5 linked regions of the Oryctolagus cuniculus genome follow. The protein of the gene in region 5 interacts with the protein of the main gene of each other region in a pairwise test. Links are inferred from orthologs where the notes say so. Each region holds a gene or a part of one and is shown on either strand. Other genes may lie near its edges.

Evidence for each region.
Region 1: the proteins of STK16 (region 5) and KCTD14 interact in binary tests that used the Homo sapiens proteins (3 or more experiments, as listed by UniProt). The link is inferred for Oryctolagus cuniculus from reciprocal best matches to the Homo sapiens genes STK16 and KCTD14.
Region 2: the proteins of STK16 (region 5) and ADAMTSL4 interact in binary tests that used the Homo sapiens proteins (3 or more experiments, as listed by UniProt). The two-hybrid records come from large-scale screens. The link is inferred for Oryctolagus cuniculus from reciprocal best matches to the Homo sapiens genes STK16 and ADAMTSL4.
Region 3: the proteins of STK16 (region 5) and MIIP interact in binary tests that used the Homo sapiens proteins (3 or more experiments, as listed by UniProt). The two-hybrid records come from large-scale screens. The link is inferred for Oryctolagus cuniculus from reciprocal best matches to the Homo sapiens genes STK16 and MIIP.
Region 4: the proteins of STK16 (region 5) and PLSCR3 interact in binary tests that used the Homo sapiens proteins (3 or more experiments, as listed by UniProt). The two-hybrid records come from large-scale screens. The link is inferred for Oryctolagus cuniculus from reciprocal best matches to the Homo sapiens genes STK16 and PLSCR3.

The regions. Positions count from the first base shown.
Region 1 is NC_091432.1:69,093,920-69,098,122, reverse strand, and holds the start of KCTD14 (BTB/POZ domain-containing protein KCTD14), read left to right. Parts: upstream 1-1,396; 5' UTR 1,397-1,482; coding exon 1,483-1,566; intron 1,567-4,203.
Region 2 is NC_091438.1:47,449,226-47,452,739, reverse strand, and holds part of ADAMTSL4 (ADAMTS-like protein 4), read left to right. Parts: coding exon 1-276; exon of another isoform or gene 277-476; coding exon 477-1,086; exon of another isoform or gene 1,087-1,316; coding exon 1,317-1,419; exon of another isoform or gene 1,420-1,881; intron 1,882-3,514. UniProt on the Homo sapiens protein: Positive regulation of apoptosis. May facilitate FBN1 microfibril biogenesis.
Region 3 is NC_091438.1:156,459,702-156,463,215, forward strand, and holds the end of MIIP (migration and invasion-inhibitory protein), read right to left. Parts: intron 2,632-3,514; coding exon 2,523-2,631; intron 2,438-2,522; coding exon 2,385-2,437; intron 2,038-2,384; coding exon 1,908-2,037; intron 1,772-1,907; coding exon 1,675-1,771; intron 993-1,674; coding exon 858-992; intron 644-857; coding exon 554-643; 3' UTR 344-553; downstream 1-343.
Region 4 is NC_091448.1:51,969,982-51,972,898, reverse strand, and holds the end of PLSCR3 (phospholipid scramblase 3), read left to right. Parts: intron 1-1,380; coding exon 1,381-1,542; intron 1,543-1,722; coding exon 1,723-1,779; 3' UTR 1,780-2,412; downstream 2,413-2,917. UniProt on the Homo sapiens protein: Catalyzes calcium-induced ATP-independent rapid bidirectional and non-specific movement of the phospholipids (lipid scrambling or lipid flip-flop) between the inner and outer membrane of the mitochondria.
Region 5 is NC_091434.1:20,221,874-20,225,922, reverse strand, and holds the start of STK16 (serine/threonine-protein kinase 16), read left to right. Parts: upstream 1-1,246; 5' UTR 1,247-1,382; exon of another isoform or gene 1,383-1,645; intron 1,646-1,740; 5' UTR 1,741-1,844; coding exon 1,845-1,930; intron 1,931-2,465; coding exon 2,466-2,685; intron 2,686-2,940; coding exon 2,941-3,074; intron 3,075-3,231; coding exon 3,232-3,352; intron 3,353-3,475; coding exon 3,476-3,571; intron 3,572-3,929; coding exon 3,930-4,049. UniProt on the Homo sapiens protein: Membrane-associated protein kinase that phosphorylates on serine and threonine residues. In vitro substrates include DRG1, ENO1 and EIF4EBP1. Also autophosphorylates. May be involved in secretory vesicle trafficking or intracellular signaling.

The sequences.
Region 1 (4,203 bases), on a different chromosome or scaffold from region 5:
TAACAGTTGATGTTGACCTTGATCACCTAGCAGAAGTAGTATTTGTCAGTTCCTCCACTACAATACTACCTCCCCCTGCCCTTTGCTTCCCCTATTGTAGTCTTAGAAGGAAGTCACTGGTCACAGCCCACATTTAAGGAGTGGGGTGTTATGCTCTTGCTGTTTATGGGATATATATATATATGTGTGTGTGTATATATATATATTTGTTTATTTAAGAGGCAGAGAGAGAGAGCGCGCGTGCTCACATCTGTTGGTTCACTCCTCAAATGGGTGCAATGACCAGGGCTGGGCCGGGGTGGAGGGAAAGCCAGAACACAAGCTAGGTTTCCCATGTGGGCAGCAGGCACCTGCTTACTTGAGTCATCAGCACTGCCTCCCAGGGTCTACACTGGCAGTTAGCTGGAGTCAGGAGCTGGAGCCCAGAATTGAACCCAGATGCTCCACTGTGGGAGGCTGATCTCTTAACCACTAAGCTAAATGCTGACTCCCTGACTTACTGTACTTTCTTTTTTACAAAGAGAGGTTTTTTTAAAAAAAATTATTGAGAGGCAGAGAATAATAGAGAGACTGAGAACTCAGACCGGCTAGTTCACTCCCCTATCAGAAGTCAATCCAGGTCCCCCAATTGGGTGGTGGGAACCCAACCACTTGAGCCACCCCCGCCGCCCCTAGGGTCTGCACCAGAAGGAAGCTGGAATCAGGCAAACATGGAATCCAGGACCTGTGGTTTGGGATGCAGGCTTCTCAAATTGCTTCTTTACAGCTAGGTCAAAAGCCCGCCTCCCTGAGGTGGTTATTTTAACAAGGAAAATAGCGCACAAAAGGGGTATCTAGATTTTTTTTTTTTTTTTTTGACAGGCAGAGTGCACAGTGAGAGAGACAGAAAGGTCTTCATTTTCTGTTGGTTCACCGCACTGATCCGAAGCCAGGAGCCAGGTGCTTCTCCTGGTCTCCCATGGGGTGCAGGGCCCAAGTACTTGGGCCATCCCCCACTGCACTCCCTGGCCACAGCAGAGAGCTGGCCTGGAAGAGGGGCAACCGGGACAGAATCCGGCGCCCCGACCGGGACTAGAACCCTGAGTGCCGGCGCCACAGGCGGAGGATTAGCCTACTGAGCCCTGGCGCGGGGTACCTAGCTCTTTGCGTCACTGGTCGTACTTGGCATTCCTAGCAGGTGGCCTGTGGTGGCTTAATAGCCCACACCGGCCACCCTACTTCCTGGAACTTCACTTTCCTAGCTCTAGGAGGGGTGTTGTTGATTCCCCTTCCCCTCCCTAGTTCAGTCTTGATGGTACCCCTGGGACCGCACGGGAGCCCGAGGCTCAGAAAAGGGCAAGGTCGGCTCAGCATCTCACCTGGCCGGGCAACCCCTCCTGCGCTTAGCTTCCCCACCCCGGGGCGGGGCCAGGGGCACTTCCGCTGGCCAGCGTTAGCCGCACGTGGTAGGCTGAGCGGCGCCGGGCTAGCTGCGGGTCGGAGATGACCAGCCTGCGCTCTGCGCCCGGGTCTCCGGCGTCCACGTCCCGGGCGCCGGCGCCCCCGCCCGTGACCGACAGGCAGAACGTGAGTGCGCGGGAGGGCGGGGGCCGCGCGTGTCCCGCGCCGCCGCGTCTTGCTCTGCTGCGCTCCGGGGTCTTCCGCTGGCCCCTGTCTCCCCGGGGCTGCCTTTCGCTTTGGGCGCGCTGCGTTCCCTCTCCTCTGGCAGGGCTCTGTCTTTTCTCCTTGGCCATCTCTGCCCCAGCTCTGGCCGCTGTGCTTTTGCGCCTCTGTGCCGGATCCTGCTCCGGGTGTGCGTGGCCTCTCCTCTTGGCACTTTTTCTTGCTTGGCCGCCTTTATTCATCGTTCTCGTCACACTGTCTTTATTTTAGTGCCTCTCTGGCGCTCCGCCGTGTGCCCTCAGGCTTCGTGAAGTCCATGGGTTTTCTTTGAACCTAACTCTTCCTGCCGGCCCTGGCCACCCCCGCGCCCCAAACCCCTCCATCTTCAGGCTGGCCCTGCCCTTGGGTTGGATCCTGAGGCTTCCTGCTCACCTCCTCCCTGGGCTTGGGCGAGGGGGGAGGGTCGACAAAGGCTGCGTTTGCTGTAGGAGCAGAAAATTCTGATTCTCTTTTGGCTACATCTTTGCTTTTTTAATTTTTAAAAGATTTATTTGTTTATTTGAGAGGCAGAGTTACAATCAGAGAAGTCTTTCATCCACTTGTTCACTCCACAGATAGCCCCAACGTCAGGAGTTGGGACAGTTGGAAGCCAGGAGCTTCTTCCGGCTCTCCCACAAGGGTGCAGGGCTGCAAGCACTTGGGCCATCTTCCACTGCTTTCCCAGGTGCATTAGTTGGCATCCATATGGGATGCCTACGTCATAGGCGGAGGCTTAATCTACCAGGCCACAGCGCAGACTCCTGGTTCCGCCATCTTGAAGACTTGGAAGGAAAAGCAGACCCAGGAACGTATGGCTCTTTCCACTAGGACAACAGTAATGGCATTTTCCTTGGCGAGTGACAGAGCCATCTTCTTTTAAAATATGTATTTATTTGAAAGGCAGAGTTGAGAGAGATCTTCCATTTGCTAGTTCACTCCCTAAATGGCCACAACCAGCAGGTCAGATCCAGGAACCTGGAACTCCCACGTAGGTGCTGGGGCCCAGTTGCTCTCCCAGGTGCACTAGCAAGGAGCTGGATCAAAAGATTCCGGTGCCTGGAAGCAGCAGGGACTCACATGAGCTCTGATAAGATAGAGGATACTGGCATAGCAAGCAGAATCTTAACCCGCTATGCCCAATGGTGGCCTGACAGGGCCACCTGCTGAATGCTTAGATAGGTGCTCAGTAAGTGCCTGAATGAATTACCAGGCAAAGGTAATGCCGGGACCCAGTGCTCAGTGCCAGGTAGGGCAATGTCGCCCTTTATCAGAGGACCGTGTGCTCCATTCAAGTCGGCAGTGTGCTGCTCAGCTCTGTAGTAGGTAAGAGTGACATAAGGTAGAGCCAAGAACAGTCCCTCCCTTGAGGAAACAACAGTCTAATTTGCAAGGGGACCCAGCCTGCTTTGATGAGGGGGGTGGAGGGAGCAGCAGGTGGTTGAATTGCAGAGTTTAGGGTTTATTTGGAAGGGAATGAGGAGTTTTCTGGGCATTTAATGCAGGGAGTGATGGGATCAGATTCAGAAAAGGTACTGTGGTTTCAGAATGGAGAGCAGGTAAAGCTGCTGCCTGCAGTGTTGGCCTCCCCTATGGGCTCCGAGTCCAGTTCCGGCTGCTCCACTTCTGACCCATCTCTCTGCTATGGCCTGGGAAAGCAGTAGAAGATGGCCCAAGTCCTTGGGCCCCTGCACCCTCATGGGAGAGCTGGAAGAAGCTCCTGGCTCCTGGCTTCAGATAGATCAGCGCAGCTTTGGCCATTGCAGCTCTCTGGGGAGTGAATCAGCAGATGGAAGACTAATCTCTCTCTTTGGCTCTGCCTTTCTGTAACTCTTTCAAATAAATAAATAAATCCTAAAAAAGAGAGAGGGGGGGGAGAGAGAGAGAGAGAGAGAGAGAGAGAGAGAGACTTATTTGAAAGGCAAAGTTGCAGAGCAGGAGATCTTTCATCTGTTGATTCACTCCCCAAATAGCTGCAATGGCCAAGGCTCGGCCAGGCCGAAGCCAGGAGCTTCTTCCAGGTCTTCCACATGGGTGCAGGGCCCAAGCACTTGGGCTATCTTTTGCTGCTTTTCCAGGCCATTATCAGAGAGCTGTGTCAGAAGTGGAGCAGCTGAGTCTCCAACCAGCACCCATATGGGATGCTTAACCTACTATGCCACTACACTGGCCATGACTTACTTTCTTTCTTTTTTTAAATTTGTTTATTTATTTGAAAGAGTTACACAAAGGAGAGGCAGAAAAAGAGAGGTCTTCCTGGTGCACTCCCCAATTGGCCGCAACAGCCAGAGCTACGCCGATCCAAAGCCAGGAGCCAGGAGCTTCTTCCAGGTCTCCCACGAGGGTTTCAGGGCCCAAGGACTTGGGCCATCTTCTACTGCTTTCCCAGGCCACAGCAGAGAGCTGGATCAGAAGAGGAGCAGCCGGGACTTGAACCGGCGGCCATATGGGATGCCGGCACGGCAGGTGACAGCTTTACCCTCTGTGCCACAGCGCTGGCCCCTCTTTTTTTTTTTTTTTTTTTTAAAGAATTTATTTATTTATTTGAAAGGTAGAGTTACAGAG
Region 2 (3,514 bases), on a different chromosome or scaffold from region 5:
GCCTTGGGACCAGTGGTCCTCTTGCTCCCAGCCCTGTGGGGTGGGGGTACAGCGCCGGAGCCGGATATGCCAGCCCCGCCAGGACCTGCCTCCCCCTCCCCGGCCCCCAAGGCATCCAGAAGCCCAACTCCCCCGCGGTCAGGGCTCCAGACCCCACACCTTGGGAGAAACCCACCCCCTGTACAGGCCACAGCCACGGGGAAGGGGGGGCCCGCTTCGAGGTCCTGCTTCCCTGCCGGGCAGGGAGGACACACAGGAGGTGGCAGGAGCCCGCAGGTGAGGCTCTGCGGGAAGGGGCGGGCCTTGGGTGAGGGGCTGGGCTTGATGTGGAGGGAAGGGGAGCAAAGGACACGCGGCTTCCAGAGGCTTCTCTCGGGTGCCAGGAAGTGGAATGGGGAGACAGGCTCCGGGACAGCTGGAGCGTGCCCCGCGTGTCTGACTCATGTGTGTGACTCATGTCTGCCACACCTTCTCAGGTCCCGGGTCCGAGAGCCCATCAAGCCTGGGATGTTCGGCTATGGGAGAGTGCCCTTTGCCTTGCCGCTGCATCGCCACCGCAGGCACCCCCGGCGGCCGCCCCTGACTCCCGGGGCCGAGCTGCCCTCTGCACTGCCCCCCACAGAACTGCCTGCCCACACCTCATCCCTCCCGGCACACCCCACAGGGTCAGGGACTGTTCAGACCGAGGCTGCCCTGCCCCGAGCCAGGGCTGCCTCCTCGCAGCCGTCCCGTGGAGCCCAGGCCCCCCGCACTGAGCCCCTCTCGCCCACCCTCTCCGGGGAGAGTCGCCCCTTCCACCTGTCCCCTCAGCCAAGAATACCGAGCTCCCAGGGCTGGGCCCGCCCCCGGGAGCCAGGGAGACCCCCTGACCCTTTCCCCTCGGTCCCTCGGGGCTGGGGCCAGCAGAGCTGGGGGCCCTGGAGGCCTGGGGGGAGCCTCCGGGGGTCCCCCGCGGAGCCGAATGGCTGGCTGCCTCTGCTGAGCGACGGACCCCCCTCCAGTTCTCTCTGGAGCCTCTTTGCCCCCAGCAGCCCTGTCCCGCGATGTTCTGGGGAGACCGAGCAGCTGAGAGCCTGCAGCCAAGTGGTGAGTTCCTCACTGGACCTCACTGCCCAACTCAGCTTCCACTCTGTCCCCTTGATCTGGGGCGGGGCACTCAGCTTGTCTGACCCAGCAGGGCGGAGAAAGGCCCCGGCCTCTGACCTCCTTGGGGAAGGGGCCTTGGAAGTCTTCTGTGGACCCCTCCCCCCAGGCCCAGCCTTGGCCCTGAGCCCCATTTGCCTCCCTGACCCTGACTCCTTTGTCCCTCCCCGCAGCCCTGCCCGCCCGAGCAGCCAGACCCCAGGGCACTGCAGTGTGCTGCCTTCGACTCCCAGGAGTTCATGGGCCAGCTCTACCAGTGGGAGCCCTTCACCCAAGGTGAGTGCTCCGGCCCCTCCCCTGGGCAGGGGTCATGGGGTCAGCAAACACCAGTCACTCCCACCCTGGAAGATTTCCCGCCCTTCTCCTTCTCTGCGTCACCCAGGACAGAGGGGACTTGGCCCAGGCCTTGAGCTGCCAGATGGTGCTGACTGGTCTGCAGGGGGCTCGGGGAGGGAGGGAGAGCTGTCCAGAGGTGCCCTTTACATCCCAGGAACGGGGTGGCTATGACCCAAGAGATCCTGCCACCCGGCAGCAGGCTGGGCTGTGCTTACCGTGTCCTGCTCCCAGGGTACCGTCCACTTGGTTTAGGCCTGTGTCACCTTGACACCCAGATGAGACCTCCTGAGTTCAGTGCACACAATCACAGGTGTGGAAGCTCTCTCCTTGGTGGCCTCAGTGACCCCAAGTGACCTGAGCAGCTTATGTCCAGTGACCCAGCAGCCTCAGGGTGTCCCAGAGCTGGCATGAGGGAGATTTCAGAGTTAGTGCGAAAATGTCATTAAAAGATGTTTATTTTGGTACAAAATGATTTTGAAATTCATGCATAGTTTTTTTTTCTAACACATATTTCCTATGAGCTTTTTTCTTTTTTTTTTTTTTAAGATTTATTTATTTATTTGAAAGAGTTACAGACAGACAGAAAAAGAGAAATCTTCCATCCGCTGGTTCTCTCCCTAAATGTCCACAATTGCTGGAGCTGCGCTGATCCAAAGCCAGGAGCCAGGAGCCTCCTCCTGGTCTCCCATGCAGTGCAGGGGCCCAGGCACTTGGATCATCCTCTGCTGCTTTCAGGGAGAGGATCAGAAGTGGAGACGCTGGAACTGGAGCCGGCGCCCGTACGGGATGCCCGCGATACCCACTGTGCTGCAGCGCCGGCCCCTCCTGCTCTCTTTGTAGCGTGTCTCTTCCTTATCTACTAGAGAGGCACAGGGTATGGTGTTTGCAGAGGGAGACAGATACTCTTTTTTAAAAATAAACATATCTCTTTTTAAAAAATATTTTATTTATTTATTGATAGAGTTACAGATAGTGAGAGAGAGAGAAAGGTCTTCCGACTGTTGATTCACTCCCCAAATGGCTGCAATGGTTGGAGCTGTGCCGATCTGAAGCCAGGAGCTTCCTCCTGGTCTCCCACATGGGTGCAGGGGCCCAAGGACTCTCTCTCTCTCTCTCTTTTTTTAAAGATACATTTATTTGAAAGATAGAGTTATACAGAGGCAGAGGCAGAGAGATATTTTCTGTCCACTGGTTCTCTCCCCAAATGGCTGCAATTGCTGGAGCTGGACCGATCCATAGCCAGGAGCTTCTTCCAGGTCTCCCGTGTGGGTGCAGGGGCCCAAGGACTTAGGCTGTCTTCTGCTGTTTTCCCAGGCACATTAGCAGAGAGCTGGATTGGAAGTAGAGCAGCCAGGACTTGAACCGGTGACTGTAGGAGATGCTGGCGCTGCAGGCGGCAGCTTTATCCACTACACTGTAACACTGGCCCCAATGGGCATAGGTTCTTGTGATGTAAGAGTGTAGTAACCAGGGCCAGCACTGTGGCACAGCCGGTTAATGCCCTGGCCTGCAGCACCAGCATCCCATATGGGTGCCAGTTCCACGCCTGGCTGCTCCAGTTCTCATCCAGTTCCCTGCTAATGCACCTGGGAAAGCAGTGGAAGATGGCCCAAGTGCTTGGGCCCCTGCACCCACATGGGAGATCCAGGTGAAGCTCCTGACTCCTGGCTTCAGCCTGCCTGGCCCAGCCCTGGCCCTGGCGGCCTTTTGAGGAGTGAACCAGCAGATGGAAAACCTCTTTCTCTGTCCCTACGTCTCTAACTCTCTCCTTCAACTAAATACAATAATTTTTTTTTGTTTTAATGTATAGCCACCAAACTATACGGGATGGCCACATGGCAGGTGGTGGCTTAACCCGCTGTGCCACAGCGCTCCCTCCCAGGAGCTTTTTGAAGATCCTTCCTATGCATGGATTTCAACATTTTCTGCACCCCAGTAAACACCTTTCAACTCCACTTTGCCACAAACGTTTTCAGGGGCCTCCTGAGCAAAGCTTCTGCGGGGGCCCTGGGCCCTTTCCATCCGCTTCCCCTCC
Region 3 (3,514 bases), on a different chromosome or scaffold from region 5:
ACGTTCTCACCAGTGTGGTTCAGGGAGACCCCGTTAGGGGGCGTTCTCGGGTTCCTGGCTTCATCCCGAGGGCCATCGTCAGTCTCAGCTGTGTGCAAACCTCCAGGACCCCCTGGCCTGCAGGCAGCCTCCCCCGCCCCGACCTCCCTGTGGTCAGCATGAACGCACAACCCTGTGATTCACCCGACACTGAGTCGCGGCGTCCACACCGGGGCCGCCACAGCCCGTGACAGGGCGGCAGGAAGCAGACTCAGTGCCCAGGCTCTGGTCAGTTTCTCGGCACACAGGGGGGAGGCGGGCAGGCTGAGGGTGAGGCGCCTCAGAGGCAGGGCAGACCAGCACATACAGGGATCGAGCTGTCCCAGGCAGCACGCTTTATTTACAGAGTCACAGAACCCCCGCCTCCCTGCCCAGGGCCGGGCCTCTCCGGATCCCAGGAGGGGGACAGGCTCGCGCCCACCCGAGCGGAGCCCGGCAGAGGCTTCCGTGCGTGGGCAGCCCCTGCTGGAGCAGAGGGGCCCGAAGTAGCAGCAGAAGCTCCACGCCGTGGTCCTCAGGGCTGCTGCTGCCGAGCGGCGTGGGGCTGGGGGCGCCGGGGATGTGACCAGATTGGGGTGGGGGCTGGACCCCGCACTGGCAACGCCTGGTGAATTGGAAGATAGCAGAGGAGCCACATCAGTTCCAGCCACCTTCCTGGGGGGAGCAGGGCGGGCGGTGGGGAAGGTAGAGACCCAGGGGACAGACCCCTGCACTGCCTGCCCAATCCGGTCCCCCAGGGGACCCTACGGTCCTCGGGCCTGCTCCACGCTACGTCCCTCCCAGGGGCACCCCAGGCTGGGACACAACCCGGGCCATACCAGGCGGGAAGGGCTGGCAGCCGACAGCTTCCGGTGCTGGGCCGTGGCGAACACCGACGACCACAGGTCCAGACTCTTGGGGGCCGAGCCCTTCTCTGACCTGGGAGGGAGGATGTCCCAGCCCAACAGGCAGTGCTGTGGAGGGCAGGGGTTAGAGAGCCGGCCTGAGGCAGGGCTCCCACTGGCCGGGCACAGCTCCGGGGGAGGGACTGTGCCCCCACCAGGGTAGAGGGAAGCCCTGAGCAGTGGGGGTTGCCCCCAGGACAGGGACCTGTGTACCCCGGATGACCCAGGGCCTGGTCTTTCTCATCCCTGCTGATCCTGCCACCCTGGGGCCCTGGGGGCTGGACACAGACACCGATGGCACCCAACAGTGATCACTTTACTGAACTGCCCACTCAGCCCAGCACCCCCAAGCATGTACTGCTACACCCATTTAACAGACAAACTGACTTTTCTCTGTACCCCTTCCCCTCCCCCAGCCTCAACAGAGGTGGGTGGGTGGTCCAGGACAACATCCAGGGGAAGCACTGTGGAAACGTTAAGAACTGAGTTCAAACCCCGGCTCTTCCGCCAAGGTATCTGGCCCTCGACCTCATCCTAGGGCAGGAGCCACCAGTGCCCTGAGCCCCTGAGGACTGTGCCCGGGGGTACACAGTGCTCCACCGCGGCACACCAGGGCTCCCTCGGGGAGCAGGTGCAGCCTGGGGAATCGGCCCTCCCCAAGCCCAGCCTCACTCTGTGGCCATCCCTGAGAACCTGAGCTGGGCCAGGGACAATCTCGCTCCCACCCACCCCACGCCCCGCGGCTGCTCACCCGAGGCAGGGACAGTGTGTCCGAGGCATCGAAGCTCTTGCGCCTGCGGATGCGATACCAGTGCGGGGGGTCCAGGATGGACAGCGGGACGCTCACCCTGTGCGGGGCAGCAGTGGCCTCTGCTGAGGCACCTCCCCCAGCCCCAGGCCCATCCTCCCCCCTCAAAGCCAGCAGCCCCCCAGGCTGAGGCCCCTCATGGCTGCCCCGAGATGTCCCACAGCTCTGCCACTCACCTGACCTGTGCCGGCTCCAGCAGGGTCTCAGGGCCCTGCTGCTCCCGCAGGGTCCCGCACAGGCGGCAGGGGGTGCCCGGATCCGAAGGCACCAGGAAGAGGCGGCGGTTGACGCGGTAACAGTACACACCTGCGGGCCCAGCAGACGCTGCCTCGGTGGCCCCAGCCCCGGCTACTCCCGCCCATGGGGCTGCCCCTCTGGGGAACAAGTCCTACAGTGGCTCTGGTCTTGGGCCCGTGTCCCAAGGGGTGCAGGTATGCTGTCCTCCCAGGGGCTCTCAGGAGCTGGAACGGGGGCCCAGCCAGCGCTGAAGGCTGCTGGGGAGGGGTGGGGTGGGTCAGCAGGTCACCGTCCCCAAGGCTCCCTGGGGCCGCAAGACCTCTACTGAGGCTGCTTTGGGACGTGAGGGCGGGGGCTCAGGCCAGGGCAGAGCGAGGCTGGGCTCCTCGGCAGCCCGGCGCAGGGCTCACACTCACATTCGTGGTCCCCGTCCACGCCATCGTTCTCGTGCAAACCCAGGAACCCGGGCCTGTGAGGATGAGGGGGGCGAGTGGGGCAGGTGGGAGGGCGGGAGCCCCCAGCCGCCCCAGCCGCCCCCGCCCGGCCCTGCTCACTCAGAGTGGCTGGCCGTGCACTCCTTCTTGTTGGCTTCTCGGAACTTCTGCAGTGTTGCAAAGAAGGCCTCGGGCTTGCTGGTGACGGGAGAGCTGCTGTCCAGGGACCCTGGCGAGGCCAAAGCAGCGGAGCTGCCGGGTAGCCCTGGCCAAGGCCTGGGGAGGTCCTGCCACGGCGCACCTGCCTCAACCCCGCTCTGCCCCCTCCTGGCCAGGACGGGCCCCTCCATCCGCTGTGGCCACGGGCTCTACCTCAGCCCGTCCACTCCCTCGCCACGGCTAGAACGTCTCACACTCTGGGAAATGGCGGTGAGGCAGGGCGACAGAGCCCTCGCCCTTGCAGGCTCACGGCCTTTTTTTTAAGGTTTCCTCCTTTGTTTTTTAAATATTTATTTATTTATTTATTTGAAAGGCAGAGTTAACAGAGAGAGGGAGGGACAGACTTCCATCCACAGTTCGCTCCCTAAACAGCCATAACGGCCAGGCAGAAGCCAGGAGCCAGAAACTTTCTCCAGGCCTCCCACGTGGGTGCAGGGGCCCAAACACTTGGGCCACCCTCCACTGCTTTCCCAGGCACATTAGCAAGGCGCTGGATTGGAAGTGGAGAAGCCAGGATTTGAACTGGCGCTCACGTTGGATGCCGGCACTGCAGGCTGGGGCTTTACCTGCTAACCCACAGCACTGGCCCCGATTTATTCATCTGAAAGTCAAAGTTACAGATATAAAGAGATCTTCCGTCTGCTGGTTCACTCCTCAGATAGCTGCTACGGCCAGGGCTGAGCCAGGCCAGAGCCAGGAGCTCCTTCTGGGTTTCCCTCAGAGATGGCAGGGCCCAAACACCTGTGACGTCTTCCACTGCTTTCCCAGGCACATTAGTGGAGACATGAACTGGTGCCCATGTAGGACCCCAGTGTCGAAGGAGGAAGCTTTACCTGCTGCGCCACATGGGCCCTGGGAGGCTTACATTTTATTTACATTTTATTTTTTTAGTA
Region 4 (2,917 bases), on a different chromosome or scaffold from region 5:
GTATCAGCCGTAAGGGGAGCTGGGACCTGCACAGACCAAGGTGGCAGCTTCCAGGAGGCAGGATGGGTTTAGTAAGCTCAAGACCCTGACCTGCCACACTTCCATTTGGAAATGGAATGTCCCGTGGTGTTAGGAGAGCATAGTGTGGGTGCTGATGGCTACTGACAGCCCTGCATTAGGGGTGGGAGTGGAACTCTAAAGCCAGACCGGGTGGGGGGGGCAGGGGATGTTGGCCATGGGCTGGGCTTGAGTTTGTGAGCCTAACACCTGAAGCATGCCTGCATTTAACATGCTGACTTGCCCTGCCGATCCGGAAGTCCAAACGCTCCCTGCAGCCTGGAGCCCACGCGATGCCCTTAGCCCCAGTTTTGAGAGCCTACGTGGTGAGGGTCTCAGAGTCAGGCCTGGGAAGCGCCTTGGTTTCTGGAAGGCAGAGGCACTGCAGAAACTCCCCAGGCCTAAGTCCCTGTGCAGATAAAGCAGACAACGGGCGTGATCCAGCAGACTTGCCAGCGCGTCTGGTGAGGCGCTTCACCTAGGGTTGCTCTTTAAAATGAGTCATGTTAATAGCCAGAGGGAGGCTCCATGATGGGAACCAGCTGGGAGAGCGAGCACTGGGTGTTCTCTGGATGGGAATGGGCAGATTGTGGGGTTCTCACAAGCCTAGTGTCTCTTTTACATAATTATGAATGGGCTGCCTGCTCTGGACTGCAGCGCCGGCTGGGACGGGGCTGCAGGAAGGGTCCCAGAGCTGTAGGAAAGTGGGGCCGGGGGGTAGCAGACACACAGGGAAGTCGCTCTGGTTCTAGTTACTGGATAATGGGCACAGGAAAAGGACCAGGAAGTCGCCGTGAGTCACCATCTATTGTAGCAGGGCCTGGCTCCCCTCTACATGAGGCTTGCGGTCAGTGCTGGGCAGGGCCCACCTTAGGGAAAAAGTAGCCGTCCGGGCAGATGCAGGCTTCCAGGGCCCACGTGGCTGGTAAACGAGGCAGCATTTCGGCAGCCTCCTCTGTCTTCCCCGCCAGGCTACTGCGTGTGGGGCGCCAACTGCACCACCCGGAGGGAGGCAGCAGAGACACTGACAACCAAAGCAGACAGCAACCAGCCTCACGCTAAGGGGATGAGACTGTGTCACCTCCCATTTCTCGCACCGCACATGTTGTCATGCAGGGTCCTTAGAAGGAAGGGACTGGGTCTGAATCCAGACTCACAGTGAGACCCAGGGTGCCCGGTCTCCCCAGCTGTCCCACAGACGGTTGAGGGGATTCACTGAGTGTAGAGCTCCCATGATTCATCCGTGTTGGCCAGGATGGGTGTCCGCAGGCCACTGGGATGGGGTGCATGCTCCCAGTAGGGTCCTCCCCTCTCCCCCAACAGGTGAAGACCAAGGACGAGTCCCGCAGCGTGGGCCGCATCAGCAAGCAGTGGGGGGGGCTGCTCCGAGAGGCGCTCACGGACGCAGACGACTTCGGTCTGCAGTTCCCACTGGATCTGGACGTGAAGCTAAAGGCTGTGCTGCTGGGAGCCACGTTTCTCATCGTGAGTTGGCTGCCCCTGCCCCTGCCCCTCTCCTCCTGCCAGTCCTTTGCCATCCCTTATTGAATCTCTGTGCACCCGCTGGCTTCTCACTAGGGGTGGGTTAGGGACGGATGTCATGTATAGGGGAGGGGGTGGTTCCAGACCTGGCCCAGCCCCCCGTTCATGGCGGCTTCCCTGCAGGACTACATGTTCTTCGAGAAGCGAGGAGGCGCGGGGCCCTCTGCCATCACCAGCTAGAGGCTACCCTAGGGTGAGGGAAGTACCACCTCCACCAGAACTGAAGCCGGTTGCGGGCCCAGCCCCGCCCTCCCGAGCAGCAGCCCCCTTTCTTCCAAGTATACTGCAGGGGACGGAGAGGCTGGGGTCACGGTGCCCCACCCCGCCCCTGCTCCCCGGCCTCCTCCGCCTGGGGCCCCCACAGCAGGGTATGTATGAGAACCCGTCCCTGCCACCCCCGCCCCAGTCTCCCAGCAGCCCCTCAGCACACAGGCTTACTGGCTTTCAAACTTCCCACCCGCTCCAAGCCCTCCGAAGGCCTTTGGCACCTGAGACTCTGGGGTTTTACGACAGGGCATGGCCGAGTAAGGGCAAGCAGCAGCAGACAGCCGAAGCGGCCACCCCTCTCCTTCGTCAGCTTTGCCAATTAGCTCAGCCTCGGACCCTGGCACTTGGAGGGGATCTCCACCTCCCCCGCCAGCAGGTGTCAGGGCTGGGCCCCAGCGCCAACTTCCTTTCCCCCTTGGGCCCTGCCCAGAGCGGTGCTTCCTGCAGCTTCCTGTGCCTTATTTAACCACCCCTTCCTTGCCTTGCCCTAGGAAGGAGGCTGCATCTTTGTATGTTATATTCATAAACACTTTGTAACTTTTTGGACATTGGAAGATGTATGTGATGGGGGAGGGGCGAAGAGTCGATGGGAGGTAGAGCAGAGGGAACTACTGGGCTGGGGCAGGGGCTGGCCCCTCTCGTGGTCCCTGCTGCCAGGATCGAATGCCCTTGCGTCCAAGAGAGCAGTTCCCATCACCCACGATGGCGCTGGACCAAACCTGGGCAACTGGGGCCCCAAGTCCCGACGGCTGCTTCCACCTCCCAGGTGGCCGCCCCCAGAGTCAGTGAGGTAGCTCAGGGCGGCTCCGGACAGCCACTTGGTCGTTCTCTGAAGGGGAACGGTCTCCCCTGGGTCTGATGTGCAGTTCTTTTCCTTCAAGTCCTCCTCCTCTCTGGGAATGTGGCGAGCAGAGCACACTTCCTTGGCCCCGCCAAGGGACCCTGAGCCTTCAGAGGCCATGGGCAGGGTAGGGAAGAGACACCCTCTCCGTGCCCAACCCTGGGCTCCCTTGGGCACCTCCTGCACCTGCTTTCCGCAGGTGGGGAACTC
Region 5 (4,049 bases):
CGTGTCAGAGTCCTGGGAGGGAACCTCAGCGAGCAAGGGGGCGGAGACCACCTCAAGCTGCCAGGCGGTTAGCCTGGCTTGGGTCTCCAGCCTGCAGCTCCCTGCCACTCTACTAATGTATAACAGTCCTCTACATCTGGCTACTCAAAGCGCAGCCGCGAACCAGCTCCATCAGCGTCACCAGAGAGCCCGTTAGACACGCGGAATCTCAGGTCCTACCTCAAACCTATAGCATCAGAATTTGTATTTTAGCAAGATTCCCAGGGACACTCACAAGAAGCACTGCGCTACTGAGACTGAGCTCCCTGAAGGTGAGGAGTGCTTTGTCCATCTGGGACCCCCAGCTTCAAGCACAGGGCCTGACACAGAGCAGGTTAAATCTACATGACAGAATGTCAGAACACGCAGGAAAACAGGGTCAGTACCAAGGGAAACCATAGGAAAATCTTCATGGTGATCAGAGCTATGGCAGGGGGAAACCAGGTCACAAGTTGAACCCTTCTCCTGGAGAGCCCATCCTGGCCATCCCATCCTCTCTGGAAGTGTGCGCCCTCTCCAGCTTATCCTTGCCCATTTAGGCAAGAGATGTCAGTGACAACTGCTTGATGCCAAGGCTGAATTTGGGGATTTCCAACCCTCCTGCCCTCATAGTCCCAAGCCTGGGATGTGAGGAGCGGAGTAGTAGTAACTATCATTCCTGTTGCGAGACACTTACTGAGGGTTATGTAACACTGTTACCGTTCCCACTTTACAGATGAACAAACTAAAGGACAGACATGTCAGGTAGACTGCCTGAGCTCCCACAACTAGTTTAGTCTAGCTGGGATTTGAATTAGCCTCGCAGTTCATGCACTAAATATTAGGCACTATTACATGTATTTTTACAGCTACAGAAAACTAGGATCCAACAGGCTAATTGGTCGAGGTCACACAGCAGGTAGGTTACTAAGACCCCCTGTCTAGAAACTGGCAGTGAGGTTCGTGAGCAGGGCTTGGAAGGTCACCGGCCCCTCCCGGGGCCGCCCTCAGGGATGGGCCATAGTTGGGCGCATTCTGGACCCAGCGCACGGGAGGTATGAGGCCTCCTACCTCGGACATTGGGAGATAGAGGTCCTGGGGGCCTCGGGCCGAGCCCGGCTTTGCTCCCCCCTTGGCGCAGACGCCTGCGTCTTGACCCCTACTGAAGGCCAGGTAGGGAACCTTCACCCGGGTCCCGCGACCCGTGCACCTGCAGGCCTAGCCCGCCCCCGGCCTCTCGGTTCCGCGCCCCCACATCGTCGGGATGCCCAGCGGTTGCTAGGATACCGCGGGCCGTTACGCCGGCGCGGACTGATGACGTAGACGCCGCTTCCGGCTTCTGGCTGAGTTCCCTCCCGGGCCAGGTCAGTGGGACGTCCGAGCTGATCGATCCCGGGCTCCGCGCTCTGAGGTTGGGGGTGGGTTCTGCAAGAGGTGGGCCGGAGGCTCGCACCTCCTCGGGAACTACTCTATGCCCGCCCTCCTTTGGGGACCGACGGGCGTGGGAAAGGGCCCGCCCAAAGGTGGACTGGGGTTGGAGGAAGTGGCCTGGGGCTTTAAGGCACCTGACTGCGGCCTTTTTGGAGCTGGCGTTGTCAGGACCCTTTTTCCCTACACGGAGATCCAGGTTCCGAGACCTGAGCCTAAGCTCTCCGCGCTGGTCCTTCAGGGGTCGTGAGGATTGTGCCGGACCCGCGACTCTGCCGTTTGTTTTCCTTCCAGCATGAGCCACTGGGCCCGCGGCGCCTCGCCCGGAAGAGCCCACTCACCCTGGACCAGTCCCCCGGCAGCTGCAGCCCGTCCTTGAGGAGGATGTTTGAGACATTATGGGCCACGCGCTTTGTGTCTGCTCTCGGGGAACGGTCATCATTGACAATAAGCGTTACCTCTTCATCCAGAAACTGGGGGAGGGGTGAGTGTTTGGAAATCACCTAATCCCCAGGGTTATGGTCGTGGAGGACCGGCGTTCTGCACGGGACAGAGGCAGAAGGGTTTTATCCCTAACCTCTGGGTCACCTGATGGCATCTAGGTGCCTGGTAGTCCAGAGAGTGGGTTCTGGAGCCCCGCCTCCTAGAGCCACATCCGCTTGTCCTTGATAAGCCATTGATTTCTTCCTCCACTAAATGGAGATGCTTATCCCGCCTCACTGATGGCGTTGTGAGGAGTAAATGAGGTCATGGGTTTAGACCGCCCCACACAGTGCATGGTTCATAAGCACCTGATACAGGTGCACAGCGCTGTGTTATGCCCACGTCCACCTCCCCGGTCTCCCTGTGCCTGCTTTGGGGGAGCTCAAGGTGTAACAACCTTCAGCCTTCTCTTAGAGCCGCATCTTGGGAGGGTTTTTACTGAATGGGAGAGACACTGCCGTCTCCCAGAAAAGTCCTCTGAATCCAAGCCCTGTGGGAGATGACCGTGGCCCTTCACTGACCCCTTTGGCCCACAGTGGGTTCAGCTATGTGGACCTAGTGGAGGGGTTACATGATGGACACTTCTACGCCCTGAAGCGAATCCTGTGTCATGAGCAGCAGGACCGAGAGGACGCGCAGCGGGAAGCAGACATGCATCGCCTCTTCCATCACCCCAACATCCTGCGCCTCGTCGCTTACTGCCTGAGGGAGCGAGATGCTAAGCACGAGGCCTGGCTGCTGCTGCCCTTCTTTAAGGTCAGAAATGCTCCTGGCGTGGAGAGGGTTGCCACAGAGCCACCCGCCAGGGGCTGTGTGAGCAGTCAAACGAGCCGGCCAGCGGGGGTCCTGGCCGCTTCAGACTTGAGCTTTAGAGGAGCCCATGTGGGAGTGGGGGGTTTGAGGTCTAGGTGATCGGAGGAGGGCAGATGGGCATTGACGTAGGCACACGATCAGGCCCAGAGACCAGAGGCTCCGGCACCGTCTCCAGCTGTGGGGAAACTCTTGTTGCAGAGAGGGACGCTGTGGGCTGAGATAGAAAGGCTCAAGGACAAGGGCAACTTCCTGACTGAGGATGAAATCCTGCGGCTGCTGCTGGGCATCTGCAGAGGCCTGGAGGCCATTCATGCCAAGGGCTATGCCCACAGGTCAGTGGGAGGGCCCTGTGTGCTCAGGGGGCCCAGGAGCAAGAACCTCACCAAGAGAAAGGGGAGGGCTCTGGGCTCTGCTCTTCTCCCTGTGATCAGCCCCCCGCCCCCCCCCCCCCAGGATTCCAGCTTACATGTCCTTTCTATTTCTCTGCAGGGACCTGAAACCCACCAACATCTTGCTTGGCGATGAGGGACAGCCAGTGTTAATGGATTTGGGTTCCATGAATCAAGCATGCATCCATGTGGAGGGCTCCCGCCAGGCCCTGACCCTGCAAGTAAGAGCCTCGGGTTCCTTTGCCCACCTGTTCCGCACCCTGACCCCTTCTGTTACGTGCCCCAGTTCGGTCACTTGACCCTGGCCTGTGCCCTGCTTTTGAGCTCTGAGGCCACCGTTCTAGGACTGGGCAGCCCAGCGGTGCACCATCTCCTACCGGGCCCCGGAGCTCTTCTCCGTGCAGAGTCACTGTGTTATTGACGAGCGGACTGATGTCTGGGTGAGGAGCATGTGGGCGGGAATCTGCGTGGGGAGGGGCGTGGCTCGGAGGTGCTGTCAGGCAGAGAAGTAGGTCTTTGGTTTCTGTTGCAAGGGGCCCCGGGAACCGCAGCTTGTTGCCATCTCTCTCAACTTCCTTCCTGCAAACTGTCACTGATACTGAAGGAAGTGGTCTCCCTCCCATGAAGTGAGGGCTGCAGAGGTGCCCAGCTCTCTGGGGGTTTCTCTGGGCCCTGGGAGCTCTGTGTGGCTCAGGTTGGCCTATTCTGTTTGGCTTGTGTGGTCTCCTTTCCCCTCAAAAGAAAGGGAAAAGATGCCATCCCCTTTGATCTTTCAGGGACTAACCAAGTTACGTTCAGTCCCTAGGCTGTGTGCTCTATGCCATGATGTTTGGGGAAGGCCCTTATGACATGGTGTTCCAGAAGGGTGACAGCGTGGCCCTGGCTGTGCAGAACCAACTCAGCATCCCGCAGAGCCCC